Oreochromis niloticus: one gene and its partners. The protein of the gene in region 3 purifies or fractionates together with the protein of the main gene of each other region. This does not show direct contact. Links are inferred from orthologs where the notes say so. Each region holds a gene or a part of one and is shown on either strand. Other genes may lie near its edges. The genes, in order: usp1, usp46 and phlpp2.

Region 1 (7,890 bases), on a different chromosome or scaffold from region 3:
GTGCAGCCTGAGATCTGATCTGATCTGATATATGCAAATATCCATCCATGCAGGGTTATGCACACATGCATACTTATAAAGGGTCCCTTTAACTTACTTTCACTGACACGCTTACACACCAAACTACTTTCTGTGTGAGAAAGGAATGGAATAAAGTGTTGATGTTACAGTTATAGTCATAGTGCAGCAGATAAACATATCCATCCATTCTCTTCTCCCTATCCTTATAAACCCCTCTCAGACAGGATGCAAAACATGTGAAAAGTGAGAAGCGTAAACTGTTCACTTATGCTTGTGTTTTTGCTTTTTTGGATCACGCTCCAGTTTTCCTTTGTCCCAGCTGCTCTAAGCTGAAAGAAAAGTCTCTGTTTTTCATTGCATTTCTGAGTACATATGTGCACACAAGTGTAGCAGACTTGGACATGCTTCTCATTCTTGGAGTTCACCACTGCCTGTCGTTCAGCATGCTTTCATTTTCCTACCAGCGCTCAGTTCTTGAGAGAGAACCAGGCTGGAGGCTGGAGGAGGGGGGCTGTTTTGTCTCTTGGGCTTTAAGCCCGCCACACCACCCACCTCTACCGCTCCAGCCACTAGAGCTTTGGGCCTCGTGGGACAAGGCCAACCTTGATGAAGGCCACTTGCATAATTCAAGCACCTCATTACTCAAGTTCTTGTAAAACTGGTCCATAAACAGTATCTGAATGTGTTACATTCAGGTACAAGAGAAGCTTTTTTTCTTCATCACTGTTCCTCGAGTCATTTTTTTTTTTTGTATGCCTTCTAAAAATGGAAAGTCTCTCCGGTGAGAGAGAGTATTGCCACCAACGTTTCATAGCACAGATCTCTCCAGTTATCGTATTCAGCGTCCAAAATACCGGAAAATAAAGCCCTGCTTACATTTGACCCTTCAGCATACAGCAGCTTGATACGTGGGTGACCTGGCTATGCCCTCTTTATAAAATTCTGTTATAAGGAGGTGATGAGAGAAGCGAAACACAGTAATCCTCCTGAATGTGAGTCTCCTGGTTAGGATTTAAATGGTGAGTGAGAGAGAAAGCATATCCAACACATCCCCTCCCCGGCCCGCCTTCTGTAATCTAAAGAGATCACTAGCTGCTTGTTTGATCTGTAATGAAGTCACACAACAAGAGTGATTTAGGATAAACTGAACCCACTTTAAGTGAAGTGTGGGACTCTGGTAGGCTCTAGTAAGTTAATTAAGAGGTTTGCTGTTAAAGCTACCTCAGAGCTGGAGACTGAAGAGTATTCTGAGCCATCAGACTGAAGGATGGCGATGGCATCATCATCTACAGTCCCACAGGAAGTCTTAGCACCCCTAAAGTACTCCCATCCACTACTGCATCAGCATCCTTACTGCAACATCCTACCACCATCAGCCTGAAAGCCACTGAGGTTTTCTGGAAGCTGAGGCACAGCAGCTCAGTGTCCATCGGTACGTTGCTGCTGACCAAGCAACCACTCTGCAGCAGCAGCAGCAGCAGCTGTAGCAACAGCAGCAGCGGATCGTCCAGCCTTCATACTGTCGTACTGACAAATGCCTGCACTGACTACGTGCATGGATGAAACGAAACACCTGCCGTCTCCCCATGTCTGTGCCGCTTTCAGGTGATGCGATCCTCTCTATATCGTAAAAAAAAAAAGCAAACAAACAAACAAAAACAAAAAAAACACGCCAGCCAAAGCACTCTGTAATACTGTTAAAGCAAAACAGTGCAACTGATACAAATAAGCTGTAAAGAAGATTAAACTAGACGCACTCGCGGCCCGGCTATTCGAGCAGATTTAGGTTTATCAATTAACGCTGGAAGCAGGGGAAACGTAAACAGTGTCTTACCGTCACAGTCGCGGAGGGATAGCCTCGGAGACTGTCAAACGATGAGATGCTCCGGTGAAGGAGGGAATGATACTACTGGACAGATCGATCTCCGTTCGGCTGGATAATGTCGTCCCCTGTTGGTGCAAAGCGGGCAGTGCCTGTACAATAAGCGTTTTGGTTTCTCTCCCTTTTTATGTATTATGTATACATGTAAATGGCTTCCTTAAATACAATTATGAACAGCTGATGTGGGACAAGCTTCGTTATTAAACAAAAGTCCACAAATATACTTTGGTTCCACAAAAAATATATAGTTTCATTTTAACAGCTGCAAACTATAAACTTCCGTTTACTTTTTTCAAAATAAAAGAACTGGCTAATGAAAGTCGGTGGTTGCCATGTTCTTGCTCAGGATTTTAGTAGGACATTTGCTTGGTTTGTTATCTACGACTTTAAATGGTACGTGCAAAAATCTCATCCCCACTCAAACTAAACTAACTTACTTAATCCCAGAAAATCAACCCCGGTTATCTGGTGGCAGTGACTTCCTAACTTGGAGGACTGCAGATTTCCCCTGTTGTGCCAAAAAGTGATCAACTGTCAAAAAAGGTCAGATCTAGTTCAATTCTACATTTTTTTTTTATGCGTAATAGCTTTTCTTATATTGGTTAATAGACTGTAGTCACTGTATAAGATTGAAAAAAAAAATACCTGTCTGCAAGTATCTTTGACTCCATTATTGTAATTACATTATAATCAATCCAGTCCTTTTTGACCACTTAGAATATCTTTATAGGACTGGGATGTTAAACTTGCTGCAATTTCTGCTTGTCCAGTTCTCTCTTGGAAAAGGGCATTTTTTAATGTCAGACACTTTTTACCTTTTTTATTGCAGCATCTACCTTGTGACAGGATTTTGGTTCTGGCTCACAATGACTTGATATCATTAATGAGAGCACAGCACAACAGCTGACAGGGCCAAAGTTTATTTTTATGATCGTTAATATGCAAACTGTCAAGACCATTCATCAGTGGCCATGAGTACCATTCAAAGAGAATTGGAGAATAGCCACAAACAGCGCTGTAAAATGGTGAAGTAAGGCCCTGTCCTTGCTTCAAAGATGGTCATTCCCTTTTCATGTAAATGACCTTCTTGCCTCCATGTTCAGAATGGTCTGGGATAACCAGGAATCCTTCAGCTTCCCTGCCCTGTATTAGCCTAAGAATACATCATTCACCATCTTAAAGTGTTGTTATTGCAGTCACTGTGATCATTGATCAATGGCCCATTGTTAGTCATTTGTGGGTGTTTTCAGTCATCATGCAAATGAACTGCTTATAATGCTGGGGAAAGCTGCAGTCAGCTGAAAAAGTCACTTTGATGAGAGATGAAACGTTTTTCCCACTGAAATGTACCTCTAGATGAACAGATTCAACTTTGTGGGATTTTCTTACCTGGATGACTGAGCATAATTCATAATTTACTATTATATAACTATACTATTATAGTCTCGTGGGGTTTTTTTTCAGGTAATGATTTATTTTTTTTATTTTTTTTGCTGTTGGACCCAGTTTTGTTCATACTCATTGGCAGTGTTGGGAAGGTTACTTTTAAAATGTATTCCACTACAGAATACTGAATACATGCCCCAAAATGTATTCTGTAACGTATTCCGTTACGTTACTCAATGACAGTAACGTATTCTGAATACTTTGGAATACTTAATATATTATCATGCTGTTTACAACTACGTGAATGTACTATTGCTGTGATTTATTACTGTTACTGAAGGTCCGAAACGTAGTAAAGGGACCTCGGGCTAATACGTCGGGTTCGTGTCGGGCTGGTAGCCGAAAACTAGCTTTACTTTGTTGTCTGGGTCAACTTTGCTTGCGGGAGACAGAGAGAGGCGTTGAAAGGCTGCTCCAACGGAACTTATTTTTCCCGGAGGAAAACACGAACACAGTGTACAGTTGAGTCTTAATAGCTTACTTACAAATGGGCTCCTCAGGCTCTCTTCTTGGCTGCTGTGGTTATTATTATATTTACATGCTTCCAGCTCCCGTTTTTGCTCCGTGACAGCTCGGACTTTTCCTTTCTCTCCCTCCCTCGCTCACAGACACATAACGGGTATGGTAGTCCATTCTCCCTGCAGCACGGACTACACTGCCCATGATGCTACATTCTTTAGAGCTATGCCTGTAGCAGTCTGCCTATTAGCTTAGCACAACAACAACAACACAAAGGCGCTGTCTCACCCAGGAAACACGCAGAGAGAGAGCGTCACCCTGTAACCATGGCAACCGTAACGCTGCCGCCTGGAACAACAGAACGTAGCTGTCAAACAAACCCAAACAATCCTGACCCGCGACAATATGAAACAGGGAAGTACCGCCGTGTATTCCATTTATTTCACCAAAGTAACTGTATTCTGAATACCACCTTTTTAAACGGTAACTGTAACGGAATACAGTTACTCATATTTTGTATTCTGAATACGTAACGGCGGTACATGTATTCCGTTACTCCCCAACACTGCTCATTGGTTTGTACTTAATAATATTATGCTTTCTATACAAACATCTGATTCTATGTTAACCATTTTTCTGTAAATCGCAATTTGGTGTTGGATCAGATATATAAAATGTGAAGAGGATTCAAGAAATATAGAGCACAGTCTCCCAAATTATACCTCTTATACAACAGACCAGCTTCAGCTTGTCTCAACTTGAAATTTGAAAGCCTCTGTGGCCCTTGGCTTCCATGGAAGCCTTGATGAGTTGTATACCTTTTTTTTTTTTTTTTTTTTTTTACATTCATTTAATGAAAGCAATTTTTTTTTTATGTCCTGTATTTAAAATCTTAGTCCTTCAAAAGGGAAAAAAAGTGAGACATGAGAAATGACTGTTCAAGTTTAGCTCGACTTTTAATTAGAAGGAGCTGGAGAAAGGACTACAAGAATGGCGCTGGGAGCTGGCCGGTTGGGTCTAGCCGAAATAGTTGTCTTAACATTAGCCTGAAATCTGGCATGTAAATCTTTTCAGGTATAGAATATTCCAGAGTTCTGCGCGCATTTCCAAATGTTCGGCAACACCTGAAATATTTTCAAGCTTAGTAGTGACCGTTTTTTTTAAACATTTTGGCCGGATGATTTGACGCGATATCCGAGCGCTGCCGGCGATGTAGCGGCCAACGAATCTTCAAGCAGGAAAAAGCGCCAACTTCTGTTGCACCGTCTGAATTGTTAAACAGTCCTTAAAGCATTTCGAGACGGGATATTTAATGGAAAATATCAAGCTTAAACTGGAATGAAGCATTCGGGTGAGTTTTGGTTCTCGACTCTGCTGGGATTTCAAAGAAGTCCTTTTTGGCCGTGAACAGTTTGAAACGGCGTGCTTTCTGTTTTCTCCTCCCACTTCTTCACCGCACCTTCTCGAGCCAGTTTGTCGCTGTGATGTGCGCAACGTGCTCAAAAAACGCCGAGTTATTTGTCGCTACCCTGTCATTTAAAACGAAAACAGCTGCTAACGTAAGCCGTTCTATAGCGGTTGTTTGTGGGAGGGACTGAAACAAAGTACCACCTTTAAGTTAGCGTTAGCCAGCTAACATGTTATATAATGCGTGGTTCGGTCAATAACCGGTTCGACTGTATTATTGAGAAGTGTGTGCTTGATTAGACTGAACCTGTCCGTGTGTAGCTGCACAATAGTGGACCATGAACTTAAGTGCGCAGCTACGTTCGTTCTCGTTGAACTCTGATGGCGCCCGCTGAAATTACATTGTGTGTTTCCATTTTTCACCAGTGAGGTTCGCTGTTGCGTCTCAGTAGGAATTTAAAAGAAAAATCGCCCTCAAGGTACTGAGAGGAAAGATGCCAGGTCTGCAGGGTGAAAGTGTGGTAGTAGCGGCTCCGGGGAGCCCAGTGAAGAAGAGCAAACTCTCTCTGAAGTTCTTCCAGAAGAAGGAAACCAAGCGGGCTCTGGATTTCTCTGAACCTCAGACAGAAGAACCCAAAACATGTGAGCCAGAGGAGCCTGAGGCAAGGTAGGTCTCTGCTACCAGTGTGCGTCAAACACAAATAGTTTTCCAGACTGATGTGTTTTGGGCAGCCCGAAGCACTCGTTTTCCCACAGTTACATTTAGATAATTACGGGAATTCCACTGTTGTTGTGAGGGCAGGATAATGCACGTGTAGATGAGTGACACCTTAGATTTTAATAGGCTTCATCTCAATCAAGCTGGTGTTAGACTTCAACATTAATCTCAGTGTAATCATTTTAAAAACAGTGTGTGCCCGCGATGGTGGCTGTCATTTGTGAAATTCAATTTATTAGCTGCTGACTTTCTGTTTGCTTTCTTCTTAACCGATCAGCAGCTGCGATCAGGTGGTCCCTGGGCCTTCTCAGTGTCCTTCCTCACCCAGCCTCCTCCTGTCCTGCGAGAAGAGAGAGAACTTGGTGCCGTTCGTGGGACTCAATAATCTGGGCAATACCTGCTATTTGAACAGCATCTTACAGGTGAGCCATTACCACAGATGGAGTTAATTTCCAGCGTTAATAGATGTTTTGTCACTTGTTCCAGTGTTTTAGTACAAATGGTAGGATGGGCTTAAATATACTGAAGGAAAAGTTGAAAACTGCACAGAAACTTAACAGTGTGTGTGGTTTGTTCTTGTGCGATTTAAGTTGCATTGAATCCTCAAACCTGTTCACCTGTGTTATCCCACTCAGAAGTGGATGTTCTTGTGATGTTGGGAATGTTCAATTTTCTGATGGGGAAATTGTGGTTCAGCGGTTGTAGTGTGATGGCAGTCTGTGGGGAGCTTTGGACTGTTCTACCTGCAGAGAGCCTCTGTAGTCAAATGGAGGCAGTGCTAAAAAAAAAAAAAAAAAGTGGTTCGACCGGTCTGTAGGCTACTACTGAGTGTTGTAAACAATGTACAGTATCCACTGCAACCTCTGACTGTACTTCTCATACATTTTTTTTTTTTTTTGAACTTCTTTCCCTGTTCTGGCCCACTTGTCAACCAGTCAGCACATTTCTGTTGGTTAAAAACCCATCTCTGTAGGTAAATATCTCTGGAAACTAGGGCTGCCACGATTAGTCGACTAGTCACGATTACGTCAACTATCAAAATCGTCGACGACTAATTTAATAGTCGACGCGTCGTTTGAAGCTTTGTAAGATCCCAAAAGACGCAGGAGTAAGTAGTAGGATTTAAGAGTGTAATAACGGACTGAAACAGAAGATGGCAGCACTGCATGTACAAGGATGCCTGCTGCCGTTAAACCCCAAAGAAGAAGAAGCTGTGTCCCAGAATTCATAGCGCGGCCCTGCTCAGTTTCCAATGATGGCGGCAGCTAGTTAGTTTTAATATTACTCTTATTATTCTTTCTGGGTCACAAAATAAACGTTTAACCTATTTTCAGGCGAGAATGTAGCTGTGTAAACCTCAAATATCTGCTCAGTTTATCAAGACACCACATGTTCTCAAAAGTGCTCCGACGTTTTCGGAGACGTCTGTTACCCACCAGCTCGATAGCTAGCCGGGGTTCAAGGCTCACTAGAGCCGTTGAGAACACCGGACTCCCGGCAAATCGTTTTCAAACCCACCGCTGTCTTTCGCTACTCAGGTTAAACGTGATATATAAGTCACTTAGATAACTTAAAAATGATATTGTTTGGCTTTTTTTAGTATTTTATTTGTTCCTGAGTAAATTGGTTTGGCTGAGATTAAAGTTATAGTTTTTACACAGCTGAATAAACGTCAAACAGACAACTGATTATCAGAAGTGTGAGATGCTCGAGAATATACTGTTATATTTTAGATAGCAAGGAGCAGACTGCTGAGTTTATTAAACTTCACCTAAACAATCTGCAGATTTCATTAAAATTTAATAAAATATCATCTTGTCTTTATGTTTAGTTAGCACATACTTTAAACACTTAAAGCTGTAAGCTAATGATAGTTATATAAGAGCAGATGCATGCTGGTGCAATAAGCTGGACGTTTTACGTCCAATGGATGCATGATCTGATTAGTCGACTAATC
Region 2 (8,056 bases), on a different chromosome or scaffold from region 3:
CACATGTTTTGAATACATCATAATCTCTCCCACCGTGTTTTGTATTACAAAAAAAGGCTGTGCCACCTAATACATCTTCTTCCTATTTGCCAACTTTGAAATCTTTGTACTGAGAAGCCTAACAAGATAATAAATAAGAAAAAGGCTTCCTCATGCTTTTGAGACAGGACATAAGATCCAGAGCTCTGACATACAATAGAGCAAACACTATAACCTGCCTCTCCATTTCAGATGCCCTGCAGCTGCAGAAAGATACTAAAACCTGCTTTGTTTCTGCTTCCAATTCTGAACATGAAACCATCACAAAATAAAAGAAATAGTAGTCATCGATATGACGTGGCACTATCACTGTCACACAAGCTGAACGTCTAGCTCCTTATTTGATGTAGCAACATTTAATTGACACGTATATCTAACCTGTTCGTATGCACACGGATAGTTTTGTCAATTACTAGTTTTTGGTGATGCAAGTGGAAATTGTGGCTTAAAACGTGAGACAAGTTCAGATCAGAGCAAAAGTCTGTCACAAAACGCTTTTATTTTCACTTCAAATACTACAAGTGTATAAAGAAATGTCACACCAACTGAATCATTCTGAACATGCAAAATTTGTTTGTAAAAACTTGACTTATGACTCATCTGGTATTAGCAGTCATCATAACATAGTCAGTCCCCAGGAACAGACAGACACTGTGTCTCACATACAGTGGTTGGAGGAGGGGTTTAAACTTTTCTACAACAATCTTAATAAACTGTTCCTAACCTTGATGTTTCAGAAGCCTGTGCCAGATGTCACAAGTCGGCAGTGAATCACAGCCTAAACTGGGAAGGATTATTTCCTCGTGATGCATAATTCATTTTGCCTCTCTTTGTAGCAGCTAAACAACAGGAAGGTCATCGGTGCTTTTAGCGGCGTAGCCAGCCTCTTTTACTGGAAACTTTTTTTTTTGAAACTCAAGATTAAAAAATTTTTTTGTGTGTTCCCTTGCCCAAACATTTAGCCCCACTTCTGGTCTCAAATGAGGCAAGCAGAGAAGGTTCTTTGAGGTTCATTTTTTACATGTTGTGAATGCAGACGTCCTGTCAGCTCCACCTAAACATGAAGAGGAAAACACTAGATGAGAGAGATTAAAACTCCAGATAAACGCAGACCGATTGACCCACCTTTTCGGTTCACCTGAGGCCTTCTGCCGATACATGAGCTGTCCTGCAAAGTTACAGAGATAGGAGATAAAACTGATTTGATCTCATCAGGGAATAGATCATCAGAGATGCAGAACAGGAGCTGGGTTTCATTGTAAATGCTTTTACAATGACCATATTTTTCTTGCTCTTATGGTTACTTACTGAGAACATAAAGAGCAGGAAAAATGACAATAAAAGCAGTATGAGTCATGGCATCTGCATCCACTGTGGTCTCTGTCCTATTAATACTGACTGGACCGAAATAGAAAGCAAGTCTGGGAATGTTTTGTGTCAAGAGCCAAGAGCTTCAACCACATGTAATTGTTTTCCCATCCATCAAACGTTTTTCACAGATAAACCATGAGAACACATCAGTCAGCAAGATTCTGAGTAAGTACATGGTGCATACAAAACATCTGATCAACAATGTAGCTCTCCCATCCTCCACAGCTCAAACTGTCCCCCCTGTTATTCTGTTGTTTGTTTTTCTGTTAACACTCTTATTCCTTTCTCCTTTTCCCGTCCCTTTTGAAGTATGTCTGTCATAATTATTCATTGTTTTCCTTTCTTTTTGTTCATATTGAAATGCTAAGGGGATAATTGCTGAGGGAATGTTTTGAAAGCACAAACAAAGCTGCTGGTAAATGAGAGTGTCCCGAGGGCCCAGGACTCCTGAGGTGTCCTTACCTCATAATGCCCTCTCTCTCTTCCTCATGGTCAGCTAATTGTCAGTTAGAGAACCGAATAACTGGAAATTAAATGATAATTTACAGAATGTCACCTTGCAAAAGAATGATGGCCAGTACACAACATACGTTTTCAAAGTGTAAAGGATTATCTCTGAGGCCTCTCAGTTTCAGAAAGGATTCCTCTGAAGTCTAAAGAAATCTCTTTTTGATATTATCAAGGGTTGAGGTCTACTTTTTAAACAGAAGGCCTGGATTGCAAACAGGCCATTTGAAATTTAAAAGAAGCAGAGGTTTAAAAAGCAAGCAGCGTTCCAGGAAAGATCCCAAGGGATGCATCATGAAAACAGGATATATTATGTTACCTTTTCCAAACTGATTTTGGATTGGTGAATTTGGTTAGCACTGGTGTCTCACAGTAAATGGATTCTTGTTCAAACTCAGGCAGGGTCCTTCTATGTGGAGTTTACATGTTCCATATGTGCTTGTTTGGGCTTTATTCAGGAGTGCTTTCTTCTTTTTTTTAAATAAAAAAAACCGAATAAATAGGTATTGCCAACTTGGAATATATCTATCTTGGCCCCAGAAGAATCCTACAAAGAGGTAATTAATCTCAGGAGTTTCACTTCCTGGACAAATAAAACAAACTCAATGTGAATGCCATATATTTATGAAATTTGAATATTAATTTTCTTGTATGCCTTGTTCGATTGTTTTTCGTTTGTTTTCAGGTTAAACACAATATCTGTTGGATAGAAATTCTTCAAATATGATCACATTCACCCAGGCTGTTTTTACTTGTTTTCAAGTTGTTAATGTTATGACATTTTGCACAGAATAAGAGATTCGTGTTGCTTCAGATGCATTTTTACTACTGGAAATATTTCATCTAATTTAAGCTGAATAGTTGAGCAGCACATGCAGGAGGTAGAATACATGACACCCATTCGCTTACTGTAAGTTTACAAGACAATGACCTGCTTTGTTCACACATGGGCTTAATTTGATATCACACAGTCTTTATGCTAGAGAGTTGGCAGGTTAAAATCCACTTACTGGCTGAACTAAGTGAGTCAGACATTTGGATTCCTATGTGTAACTCTGCCCGGGAATGTGTAGTGCATATGTGAAAACAGCTTTGCATGCAAGGACCTGTAACTCAAGAATTCCTAAATTTATGACAATGGCAAAATTTTCCAGAAATGTAAAACGGGATAAAATGATGAAGAAATTTGCAATTTTGACCAAGAGGTCAAAATTGTTGCATTGTAATATTATGCAAAAACACTTTTTCGCAGCCTTGAAATAAAGGAGACTGTGATCATATTTTATTTTGGATACTGAACTGGTGGCAATAATCTCTGCTGGCAGATCTCTATATAAGAGACAGGACAGACAAGGGTGTAAATTACAATACTGGAAAAATTGCGAAACAGTAATTCTAGTAACTGAACTCATACTTTTCTGCTCCATTTGAGTAGTCAAAGCACTTTTAGAAATGTGAAGCTAGAGACTCCAGTAACCATAGTTAACTGTATTCCAGGGCTAGAGCAGACAACACTGGAGAAAATTTGATACTGCTGTCTAAAAGTAAGCATATATTCAGTGAGATTGCAAATCACAATGACAGTAATGACACCCATTTGCGTCAATCGGAGGTCACTAAAATTTAATATTGAGTCTCGTGCCAGGAGTGACATGGTTAGCTGCATGTTCTCCTTAAAATGCTGGGTGTCCAAAACATGATGTGGACTTCAAGGTCAAATGGAACCAGGAAGCAGAGGATGCAGGATGAATACGTTAGCTTAAATGAGTCATACTGACTGTCAGAATCCTCAAAGCTAAGGCCGAGGAGGAGGAGTGGCTGCAATCTTTCACTCCCTGTTATTAATCAACCAAAGACCCAGAAAACTCAAAAAACAGCTTTATTTGTTATCTATCATTCACCTCATAGTTTCTAGCTGATTTCTCAGAAAATGACTTCAATAAATGTTTTGATTAAAAATTAAATTTTTAAGAAAAAAGATGTGCCATTAAGTACAGCAACTTTCAAAATTACTGATATTGGACTCTTTATTTAGACGCTTTCTGTCCAATTGATCATACTGAGTTAACTTAATGTCTTCCTCTAAACCATCACTGTGACTTTTAACTGATCATTTCCAAAGGAATAGTTTATTTGAAGCATTTTAATCAGGATTTAAAATACATCATAGCACAGAAACAGCACTAGTGAATATTGTAAATAACGATCTTCTTACGGCTTCTATATTACACAAATATGTAAAGACTCCCTTTAGTCATTTTCACAATATCTCTAATATTTAGAAACAGCCTATTTAGAAATTGACGCTGAAAAGTAAAGTCTTCTTTACTCATCTCTTTTTTACTGCCCGTGTGTTTATACACCAGTACTGTATGTAATCATTAGTAATTCATGAACTCTGGCTCCTTTCCACGGGACACAGCAGATGGCTGCTCCACCCTGACTCTGGTTCTGCTGGAGGTTTCTTCCTGTTAAAACTGACTTTTTCCTTCTCACCGTTGCTTGATCATAGATACATATCTGATTGTTTGGGTTTTCTCTCTAATATTATAATGTAAAATTGCATTGAAATGGAATCAAATTCAGTGTCTTTACCCATTCATAATTTTTTTTCTATGCTTAAGTACTTTTAACTAACTCACACACTGGTGGATGCATCTGGGACAACTCGGAGTTCAGTATCTTGCCCAAGGATACTTGGACATGCAGACCAGATGAGGCAGGAATCAAACCACTGACCTTTTGCGAACCACTCTAGCTTCTGAGCTACAGCGACTACTCTTAAAACATATGTATTGACAACTTCAAAAGGTATCATATAGCAAAAAAAAAAAAAGCTGCTGGTTTAAGAATGTGCTGTTTGCGTCGTTAGACCTGAAAACATGATTTTTGGCTCACACCACTTCTTTCTTCTTTATGGGGGAATTACTTGTCTGTGTTATAAAGCATAATATATGTTTTTATGTCACTAGAAAGCTTTTTGCATAAACCCTTCAGTCCTTTTAAATTTCACAAATCACAAAACGAACTACAAATCCCTGCTCTAAATCGCAGATGATTGGTTGCGGCTCACTTAAACTCTACCGTGCAGGTCTGTATGTGGCTCTTCAATCATGTCAATCAATTCGACTAAATCCGGACCAATCAGCTCCGGGGGTTTCCCCTGGTGGGCGGGACTGTAATGCTTCCTCACACAGCAGGCTCGTTTCCTAGACGTTGCTAACAACCTGCTGCCTGCAACTTTCGTCTGTCCCCTCGTGCACTGTCGTTTTCCAGCTGAGGGGTGTTCGATATGTGTGCGAGGATGCAGCCGTGTCCACACTGAGAGTCCCCCTCAGCTCCGTGCCGGCTGCATGGTGCTCCGTGCCTCTCTGCCTGCTTTCTGACGCTTGAGGTTGCAGTCTGGCCTCCAGCCTCGACTGCGAATTAACTTCATTGCTCAGCGTCGCCTTGCTCTATTTATTTTATAAAGATGGCGGTGAAGGGGACACTGTAAACTAAATGACTGTCAGAAACATCGCCTCCATTTGTAATATGGTGAGTAACTCGCTGCTTTTCCGTGTTGATATCGATCCGCTTGCAGGCACTGTGCTGAACCTGGTTGTGTGTGTGAGAGTGTGTGTGTGTGATGAGTCGCCTCCCACCTGCACCCAGAGAATGTGCACACTGCAGGGTTTTTTTTAAAAAAACGAGTATACACAGTAGTTTAAATCGTGGCCCCATACTTTAGTTGGTCTCAGTGCTGTCGCTCAGACAGGGCCCCTTTTGTGCACCTTTGCACGCTGCAGCTTGCCGGGAGCGTTTGCATTGTGTGTTGCATCCTGGCGAGACAACACAATGTACAGTTTGTATAGTTGTCACCGGTGATTGACAAGAGGGATGGGGGGAGCGTGCTGCCTTTGACAGCTTGGTGTGATTGCATAATGTGGTGCTGCAGCAAAGGACCGGTTACATCCTGGTAGCACAGAGCAGGAATCCACACTAATCTGTGCTCCTGGTGTTCAGGGGCAGTGAAGAGTGGGTAAGAACAGACTTAAACGGCTCTGCCTAATGCCAGTGGCCTTTGCTTTATTTAGACTAGATGCTAATGTGAAAAGCCTGCAGTGTCAGTCTCATCTTAGAGCTGCTGGAGTTCTTAGATTGCACAGACTGATATATTAATCCATATCTCATCAGGATGTGTGGTGTTTTTCTTTTGTTTCTAGATATATATATATATATTCAGAATCTCCTTTAATTTTACAACAATGTTTTGTCCTGTCCTTTTTTCTGGAAATAATTAATGGCAAGGGAGTCAAACAGAAGGAAAAAAAACAAAATATATAGACAAACAGAAGAAGACGGCTGTAGTGATCGATGTAGCGGTCCCGAATGACAGCAACATCAGGAAGAAGGAACACGAGAAGCTGGAGAAATACCAAGGGCTCAGAGAAGAGCTCGAGAGGATGTGGAGGGTGAAGGTAACGGTGGTCCCCGTGGTAATCGGAGCACTAGGTGCGGTGACTCCCAAGCTAGGCGAGTGGCTCCAGCAGATCCCGGGAACAACATCGGAGATCTCTGTCCAGAAGAGCGCAGTCCTGGGAACAGCTAAGATACTGCGCAGGACCCTCAAGCTCCCAGGCCTCTGGTAGAGGACCCGAGCTTGAAGGATAAACCGCCGCAGGGGCGCGCTGGGTGTTTTTTTTTTTTTTTTTTTATATATATATATATATATATATATATATACACACACATAGTTCAGTATTATGTATAGAGCACCAAAGACACCTCAAGGCACTTTATATTGTAAGGCTAAGACAGTATGAGCACTTGGTGACAATGGGAAGGAAAAACTCCCCTTTAACAGGAAAAAAAGCTAGCAGGACCAGGCTCATGGAAGGACAGCCATCTGCTACAACTTGTTGAGGGGTGTGGGGAGGAAGACAAGACAAAAGACACACTGTGAAAGAGAGAGCGGAGATTAATAATAAGTCATGGGTAAATGAATAGTGCTGTATAAATACACTGAGTGAAAAGAGGTGAGTGAAGAAGAAACACTCATGGGAAGCCTCCAGCAGGCTAGGTATATTCCAGTGAAACCAACTGCAATATATATATAGTATATATAGTAAAATATATATATATTACTACACTAGTAAAAGCCTCGCAACAAGTGTTCCACCAGACATAAAGCGGGAACAAGCAGTTCACAGGAAGCCATCATCATGTGATTTTTTTAAAAAACATTTTTTATCCTGATCGAAATATCAGATCGGCGCATTCCCACTCAGTATGTCCCTAACCCTATTTATTAAATAGTCTTAACTAAGTAATCTAATCGAGATGTTACAAGTTAAGGACGCACTGATGGATATGGGCAGATAAAATGCTACAGTGTTTTGCACCAGTCATTATATTATCATTATTATTATTATCCATGGATTTTTCTTAACACTGACTAACCTAAATTGCATGAGAAAACTCGTGCAGGAGCAAGGAGAACATGCAGACTGCACACATGCAGGGCAACAAGTTCAATTAGGAACCTTCTTGCTGTGAGGCAACAGTGCACCTTCAGTGTTGGATGAATAATTGTTATTTCAAGCTGTCTCTCTTAATCAAATAAACATGTAGAAAGGAGCATAATATCTCTCCTTTAAGAATTTATTCCTTTCTAAATTAACAATACCACTGCCCACTTCCTGTTATCAGAAGGAGCTCAAATTTCAAAATGTGGCTTCAGATGTCAGTAAAGGTTGGATGGATAATTCATGTGTGGACTCTCCTTGGTAATTCGTCTCTCCTGGGACCTGCATGTTTCCCAAAACATTGGAGACTGGAAGTGGTAAGCCGGACAGACGGGTATCCATTGTCTGCTTTGACAGATGAGAAATGACAGTCATTAGAAGTCAAAGCCTTCCCCAACCTAAATTGTCTGCTGTGTTCACTCAACAAAGCTGTGATTCATTTGAAAAAGCTTTGAGCTCTGACAAGTGAAAAGCCTCTGACAAGAGATAAGTGCTCTGTCTCAGCAATTGGGTGCAGCAAGAGTCCCGACTTTTGATACGGGTCTACCTATTTAGACTATATCCGTTTTCTACGTTGACATGACTTGTTGTTCTGACCAAAGGAAGCAAGATGTGTGGAAGTGTGTGCTTTC
Region 3 (7,888 bases):
AAACTAACAGTAGTTTGTGCATCTCATTACTTAACCTTAGCAGCCCTGTGACGATGCTGTGCTGAGATCCTCATCAGGCTGTGTAATTATTTTCACTATGCTTCACTGTCTTCTAACTTCTGTGACCAAATCAGAGAGACTATTAGCTTTGGAAATATTTTTGAGCTATGATATGTGTATATGGAGAAAATAATTTCAGTTTAACTTTTTTTCTTCTTTTCTGTTGTTGACAAATGCTATATTGGCTTTTTTTCTGTACATATTGAGGGCTTTTACAATTTTTGTCTCTTGTACTATCTCTCATCCTTTTTTTAGATGCCATTTTCTAAAAGAAAATTCCAATTATTCACAATGTATATTGTCTAAATAGATCTAGTCAACATTAGTCTATTAAGACTTCCCTGTATCATCACTCATTCATTGTAAAAGGTATATGATCTGCTGCCTGTACATTGTATATAGTTGTAAAACGAACGCTGATCAGATTAAATAAAACCCACATGAAGACTTAAAAAGATTAGCTAGAAAGTATAATTGTATGCATATATGTACAAAACGAATCTTAAGAAGGATGCAAATGACATGCTCATGCTTCATTCATGATGTCGTCTTTTCTTTTACGATGATACTTTGTGAGTCATTGGGCCACATGACGAGATTCCTTTTTTGGATGTTGGAAAAAAGGGTTAAATCTGTCCTAACAGATGTTGTATGGGTGATGTACTACTGAGAAACCTAAGCACAGTGCTGCACAGAGGCAGCAGCAGAAATGGCACCTTGCTCCATCTGCTTCTCTGCCCCTCAAACACCTCATGTATCCGTGCCCTCCTGTGGAAGAGCGGCGGCTTATTTACCAAGAAGCTGCTCTTCCTTCTGGCCTTATGTGCACTCTTTGACACTTCACCTCTATTAAACGCTTTTCAATCTGCAAATTGTTTTGTGAAATGAAGCCCACCCCCTCTTTCTTCATTATTCTGGTGTGTGATCTCTCTTAGCTGCCTGGTTGTCTTTTTGTTTTTGCATCTCTACCCAAACAGTCAAGGCCCTTATCGGTGCCACACAAAGGGGTTTTTCAGCTCACAGCGATAGATATTGTGTGCTCGCTGTATTCAGAACAACACAGTGCTTTCTTTTGGGTCCTTTTTTAGTCCATTATAGCATGGCACAACTTTCAGTAAACGCTTTGTGATCTCCAATATAACAGTTAACAAAAAAACGATCTGGGTCCTCGCTATTCTAAACCAGACTTTAAGTGGCTGTAAATCAAGGCAGGATGTGGTGAACAGCAGTGGGTGGATTCTTTTTGTCTGAGTCTTTATAATTTTGTTTTTAATCCATTTCTGCTGTTCAAGAACTGAAACAAAACTGGGGCAGAGGGGAAAAAGCCTGTGTAGCTGGCTAATAACCACAAGGGGGAGCTGTGCAAAATGGAAGGCTGAAGGGATGGGAAAGGAAGTTTGATACTCATACTGTTCCTGAATGTTTTTGTGTTGTTTGTATTGTCTTACTCAACCAGTATGTACCCTTGTCCGTCACATCAGATGGTTTCTTTTTAAGATTCAGTCATTCATGCTGTTTAAAACCTACAAATGGAAATGAACCCAACATAAGTGCTTTGGACACTGTAACTGTAAAAGGAAGAGAAGAAATGGAATCAAGTACTCATCAGAGGTGTGGTCAGTGACGTGTGTGTGTGTGAGAGTGTGTGTGTGAGAGAGAGAGGGAGAGTCATGCCCGAGAGGATGTGATGGTGTGCAACATGTCTTCTGTCTACATAGGACATGATTTTTGGCTGCAATTGCTTTCAGCTTCTGAGCTGCATGTGAAAACCAGTGTAAATAACACCATTTCTACTCTCGATCTAAGACTCTTTTGAAGTGCTAGAAAAGTTCCAATTATATGAATCTGTCACACCACCTTCATGGGTCAGTACTAACATGTACAATAAGCAGTTGTTGAAATAGTGCTCACATTGCTGTCGATGTTTTTAAAGCATCTGTCATTCGGTTTATTGGTTATTGCTTTTTTTTTTTTTTGTTTTGTTTTTTGGATTTTTCTTTTGTTTGTTTGTTTGTTTGTTTTTTGTTTTTTGGGGGGTGAATTCAGTGTGCAAAGGGCTTGGGAAAGCGTCTGAATTGCCACCACGTTCATGAACTTACCCTGTTGAATTAAAAAAAAATAAAAATAAAATAAAAATGCATCTGCTGTATTTTGAAAACGGAATCTGTACACACACACCCCCGAACCCGTGACCTGCCCTGACTGAAAACAAAACTGTATCTGATTAGTTGGGGGAGGGTGAAGGCATGAGGTTCACTTTTGACTCGTATGAACTGTATCCCAGTTCTGTGACTTCAAGGTGAGTGTGAATGTCAGACTGAAGATATAAAAGGATGACTAAAGATGAGGAGTTGTAAACTATTAAATGGGATATTTTCAATTTATGCTGTGTATTCTTGTCTTTGGGTTGGAGAAAATGATCAAGCGAATAAAAAGTCAAATAAAAATCTACATGAGCTACGGTAGTTTTCTTTCATGCTTTGGGGTCTTGTGTATAAGAGTCGTCTACCGAAAAGAAATGCTGGGCTCAATTTATTCATTTGTTAATATTTATACCAAGGATGGATCATTTCTAATTGTTTTATGTCCTGTTTATCAAATGTTGAAAACTGGGATAAGAATTAGATATAAATAGAAATGAGTTTATTGCTATTATAAACACCTAGATTTTTTAAAATGTTTCGTGCTGTTAATGTCGACTCCAAGTATGAGTGGATGTGTGAGTGCTATGTATCTGTTTTTAATCAGCATTTAAAAACCATGACTGGACGTGGGTTAAAATTAAACTGACCTTTATGATATAGAGGGGAGAATTAAGAAAGAGCCAAAAGGCATGTGTTGTGCCTTATTGTGAGGGAGTTCTACAAAATGAAAAGAAAATTGTAAGGCATTCAGAATTGAAATTATAGATTAGTCAGCATATAACACTTGGATTTGTGGCCCCTTGAGTAAATTGCTTACTTGGCTCTCTGGCCAAAATTAAGCCTCTACTGCACAGTTTCTAAAGGATTGCGACCAAGTGAAATGATCATAAAGGTGTCAAAGCAATCTAAAAAGGTATGGGAGTCACTTATCTATCATCATTTCTTAGGTTCATATAGTAAGCCAAGAAGATCAGATTATTTGCTTTAGAAATGACTTGAACTGCAAAAAATATTAAAAATGTGTCTGAAGAGAAGCCACGTCTTTTTCGTTTTTTTGTTTCCTGTTTTCAGAAATTTTCTCCTTGTTGCCTGGGTACTTTTCACTCAAGATTTAGTCGTGTGAAAGGGTTTTCACAGGACTCCAGGCTGCCTAATGAAAATCTAAATGCACAGTTACTCCTTCCATAGGAATTAAGAGTAAGTGGCAGGCAGGTGCTGCTAGCATTTGATCAGTGTGATCTGCAACATTCAGGTGTGTAACGATGCTACAGTCTTGCCAGGAATGTCTATCCCTTCAAATTCACTCGAAAGTCAGACTCTGTGATGCTCAGGAAAATTGTAAAAGCAACACAAGACCAGCATCTCAGACTCTACCTGCCTCAGTCAGCATGATAAATGATGAAGTTCATGACAGTACTATTAGAAAAAAAAGCCAATAAGTAATAAGGCTTGTTTGGAAGGGTTGCTAGGAGAAAGCCTCTTCTCTTTAAGGAGGGCATGACAGCACACTTTAGATTTGCAAAGTTGCATCTGAACAAAGGTGTGTGGTTATAATGCACAGTGCAGTGTTTGGTGGAAAACAGATGCAACATATCAGCACAAACATCTCTCATCAAATATCAAGCACGGTGGTGGAGGGATGATGATCTGGGCATGTTCTGTAGCTGCAAGACCCGGGCAACCTGCAGACAGAGATTTAGCCAATTCCTCTCAATGCCACAGTATTCCAGAGTCAAATACAAGGCTATCCGTCTGACAGCCAAAGCTCTGCCCAAACTGGGTCATGCAACATGGCGAGCACAGCAGTGAATGTACAGCAGACTGGCTGAAAAAGAAAAGAATCAAGGTGTTGCAATGACCCAGTAAAGTTCAGACCTCAATCAGATTAAAATGCGGTGACTGGAGCTTAAGAGAGCTTTGCAAAAATGAATGCCAGCAAACCTCAATGAAATTAAGCAACAATGAAAAGAAGAGCCGGCAAAAATTACTTCACAACCATGTAACACACGCAGAGTCACAAAGAAAACCATTATTTCAGTTATTGCTTCTAAAGGTGGTTTAACAAGCTACTGAATCATGGGGTGTTCTTAGATATTCACAGGACAGCAAACATTCCAATGTAAACTGCTGTCCCTATTCAGGGAACCTCAATAGCTATGTGTGACAAGGTTCACCCTGAATCCACCCATCCATCAAATCAACCTTTTCCACTTACCCAATTCAGAGCGACAGGCCGGTCACACCCAAAGTCATGCGCAAAAACCGTAATGTTTGTGACACAGCTTATATGGGGCGCCCCATACAGCTTAGAACAACTGCTTTTAAACACAGACTGTAAACCCATCACGAGACACTACAAAACATGAACACATGTCTGACACACCCAGCAGATAAATGCATTTTTAAACATTTTCTTCCTATTTACTTAATGATAAAAGAAAGTTTTATCCACAGACTAATGCAAAATGAGCCTTTCTTTCTCCCCTCTCATTGAATAGGTGCAGCAGAGGGTTAACGCTTAATGACACGCCCTGCAAACACCTCTCGTGTTTTTGCGACTGCATCAAGTGGGAAAACTTGCCTCATCATTATTATGAAGCATCCCGCTTCAGAAAGGCCCATTGGCTGCTGAATAATAAATACCCTGAGCCCGCCCATGTCATGTTTATTGATCAGCTCTCCGGGGCCTATCTGACAGCAGTCAGATGAGTCGGGATATGGCGTCGCTGCACCGACACAGGATGAATTTTCACCTCTCCGTGGGAATTTACAAGTCGCGCGCCGGGACATCGCTTGCTTTTTGCCGCCGTTAAAAGGGATCACACATGGCGATGGAGGACGAGGACAATAACGCGGAGGTCGCTGCGACCAACGTCCGAACGGGCATCAAGAGAGGAGGTGATGTCGGAGATAACGGGGCTTGCATAGACAGGCAGCCGGACACGGTGGTCCACCAGGCGGGGCTGAATCAGACTGCGGGTCGCGGCAGCCGCAGTGGTCCCGGAGCTCACGCTGCGACGGGGATCCGAGTGCTAAAGGCAGGTCATAACCAGAGGGAGCAAACGGGGGGGGATTTAAAGTGATCGACAACTGTCATGTGAAGGTGTCGCTTACATCGCAGTAGGTGCTCGGAACAGGGCAAAGTGCATCCACGGATACGCTCGCATCCTTCCCGGCAGTGTTATGTAAATGCTGTGATATCGCGTCTAATTGATAATTGATCCGAGGCAGTCAGGAATGCACCGGAGCCGGTAACAGCAGCAGACCACACACTACAGGCACTCATAGCTGGTATATAGCGAGGCCCGCTGCTGAACTGTTTTCTTAGAAATTTTTAGGGGAAGACATGATGAGTAATAACACGCAAGTCCCCAAAGCTGCCTCAGAGACACGCGCGTACATACAGAGAACCTCAGCTGTGGTATTTCATTTAGACTGTGAGCATTACTCGTTTATTATATTTAAAAGAGGTATTTGAGGATTTGCAATGAAATAGGTAATCCCGGAGTATTAAACACCTTGATGTTTGTACGCAGAGCATTAGTTTCTACCTGCCTGTCATAAAGGTGGGTAAGTGAATTCTTTTCACAGTTATAGGTCTCAGATATAGATTATTTATAAAGTAGAGGCACTTCCTTGTGAGTCCGGACAGCTTGTTCAGTCACATTCACAGTGACACACATCCATACTGGGGAGGTGCCCAGGACATCTGTAGTCCAGTGGGGTGATTCCACAGCTTCATCAGACACACCTTCACAGCTGCTGACAAAGAAGACATCTGCACTTTACTTTCTCTGTGACCTCTTAGTTTAAGCCAACCGTTCGCCTGATCACAGCCTTAACTCTCTAACCTCTGAAGCAATGCTACTCCAGGTATGATCCATTTAAGTAGTGAGAGTGGATGTTTATTCTTGACCTTGAGAATAGAGGCTTCAAATGGGATATGACTTTGTTACTGTACAGAAAGAGTCTAAGAAAAGAAACAAATTAAGCCTTCTGTTGGGCATTAAATGAGAGGATTTGCCAAGTAATTCATCAGATTAATCAAGATAAAATTACTGTTATTTTAACAGGAAATCAATCATTAAATCAGTTATTGAGTAACTGTACCAAATACTGAGAGACTGTGGCCAATGCTGTTCAAAAACCCAACCAAGAACGATCAGTTATCACACCTTTTACTGTCAGGCTTATCGAACATGGAAGCCACTGGAGGCTGAAGATGACATCATTTAAAAACAGCAGCAATGATACCTGTTTGTCACCAGAGCGGATGCTCTCCAGACCTTTGATATCTTTCTTTGTACTGACTAGATCTAAATGCATCCCGCGTGATAAACTCCACCCTCACGAAGAACTGCTGTTACTGATATTTTATCGTTCAGGAGAGGATTATTCTTCATTGATGTCTGTTTAAGAGTAACATTAGGCTACTCCACATCCGGCTAATGTCATCACGGGTGATTAGTGAAAATAATGGTGCTGTGGTTCCTCACAGCAGTCACACCGTCCACCCTCACTGCGAATGAATAAACTTTAATGGTTGACTTTAGTTTAGGGTAGAGCGAACATTTCTATGAAGATTATCCAATTGGTAACTACCAGCGCAAATTGATTTTTGGCTGGATTAAACCCCCAGCACGTCTGGGAGAGTGTGTAGTCCATCTTGAACCACTCTCTGTTTCCTCAGATGCCCCTTGCCTCTTATGCTATGTTTTTGATTACAATCTGTGTGTGAGAAAGACTAATATTCTGTGTTTTTCTGTGTTAGCAGCGCAACATGAAGCGGAACGGGAGTCGAAGCTGCGTGACGAGAAAAACCAGGTTTGGATCACGAGAGCGGGACTGGCTGAAAGGGGACACCCAGCGGGGCTGTGTGTGTCTGTATGGGGGAACAGTAGACCCTCAGCCACCTGCCTCTGGCACACAGGCCTCCTCCACCCCTCAGACAGACCTGCAGTTGGTGCTCTGCTCCACCAGTACCACGGTGGAGGAGCTGTGTGCTCAGAAGAACGGACACGCACTTTACGTTCAACTGCACGGAGACCTAGTGAGGTAAATTTACATCGTGTCGAATCATGGTGACAAAGTTGCGTTCAGCTATTCCCTGAAGGACAAAATAAATTAAGGCATGGTAGGAATACTCCAAATATACCTGTTCCCTTTTAGAACTGCAGAGAAAAGAGAGTTCAGTCCACATCAGCTACTCAAGATGGGGCCAACACATGCATCAGGCATTCAACAGCTTCATTAAATTAATACCAATTAATCATGTTAAGTAAATAAGAGACAAATCGAAGCATAAAAAGAGTTATGCAAATATAAGCACGTGAAATGGGAGCTTGCTAAAAATATATAATACAATCTCATCCTCAGTTAATGCAAAGAAGGTAAACACACCACTGAGGACTTGCTGCAGTTGCCCTATCATCCCGCACTCCCACAGCTCCTCACCTAGGATACGCTCAGGGAACATATCTCTACGCCTCTCACCGCTGTACAAGACATGTGTAGACTGAAATAGTAATTGATGATCTGTGAAAGGATGAAAAGCTGGTTCACTAGTCTGTGACCAGGAAAGATTCAGTTCCTTGTTTGCTTCCCTTGGAAAACCTACGTGAAGATATAAAGGAGCCTAAAACGAAAGCTCAGCTGTACAGCTTAAGCCTGAATGAGTTATGGCT

Evidence for each region.
Region 1: the proteins of phlpp2 (region 3) and usp1 purify together in Homo sapiens (affinity purification with mass spectrometry; 3 studies listed by BioGRID and IntAct, with this or other methods). This does not show direct contact. The link is inferred for Oreochromis niloticus from reciprocal best matches to the Homo sapiens genes PHLPP2 and USP1.
Region 2: the proteins of phlpp2 (region 3) and usp46 purify together in Homo sapiens (affinity purification with mass spectrometry; 4 studies listed by BioGRID and IntAct, counting the BioPlex papers as one, with this or other methods). This does not show direct contact. The link is inferred for Oreochromis niloticus from reciprocal best matches to the Homo sapiens genes PHLPP2 and USP46.

Annotation. Positions count from the first base shown.
Region 1 is NC_031981.2:33,420,523-33,428,412, forward strand, and holds the start of usp1 (ubiquitin carboxyl-terminal hydrolase 1), read left to right. Parts: upstream 1-4,790; 5' UTR 4,791-5,159; intron 5,160-5,187; exon of another isoform or gene 5,188-5,367; intron 5,368-5,641; 5' UTR 5,642-5,709; coding exon 5,710-5,882; intron 5,883-6,210; coding exon 6,211-6,355; intron 6,356-7,890. UniProt on the Homo sapiens protein: Negative regulator of DNA damage repair which specifically deubiquitinates monoubiquitinated FANCD2. Also involved in PCNA-mediated translesion synthesis (TLS) by deubiquitinating monoubiquitinated PCNA.
Region 2 is NC_031986.2:37,319,423-37,327,478, reverse strand, and holds the start of usp46 (ubiquitin carboxyl-terminal hydrolase 46), read left to right. Parts: upstream 1-5,037; 5' UTR 5,038-5,418; coding exon 5,419-5,454; intron 5,455-8,056. UniProt on the Homo sapiens protein: Deubiquitinating enzyme that plays a role in behavior, possibly by regulating GABA action. May act by mediating the deubiquitination of GAD1/GAD67.
Region 3 is NC_031965.2:21,822,201-21,830,088, reverse strand, and holds the start of phlpp2 (PH domain leucine-rich repeat-containing protein phosphatase 2), read left to right. Parts: upstream 1-4,799; 5' UTR 4,800-5,029; coding exon 5,030-5,242; intron 5,243-5,894; exon of another isoform or gene 5,895-6,065; coding exon of another isoform or gene 6,066-6,077; intron 6,078-6,975; coding exon 6,976-7,259; intron 7,260-7,888. UniProt on the Homo sapiens protein: Protein phosphatase involved in regulation of Akt and PKC signaling.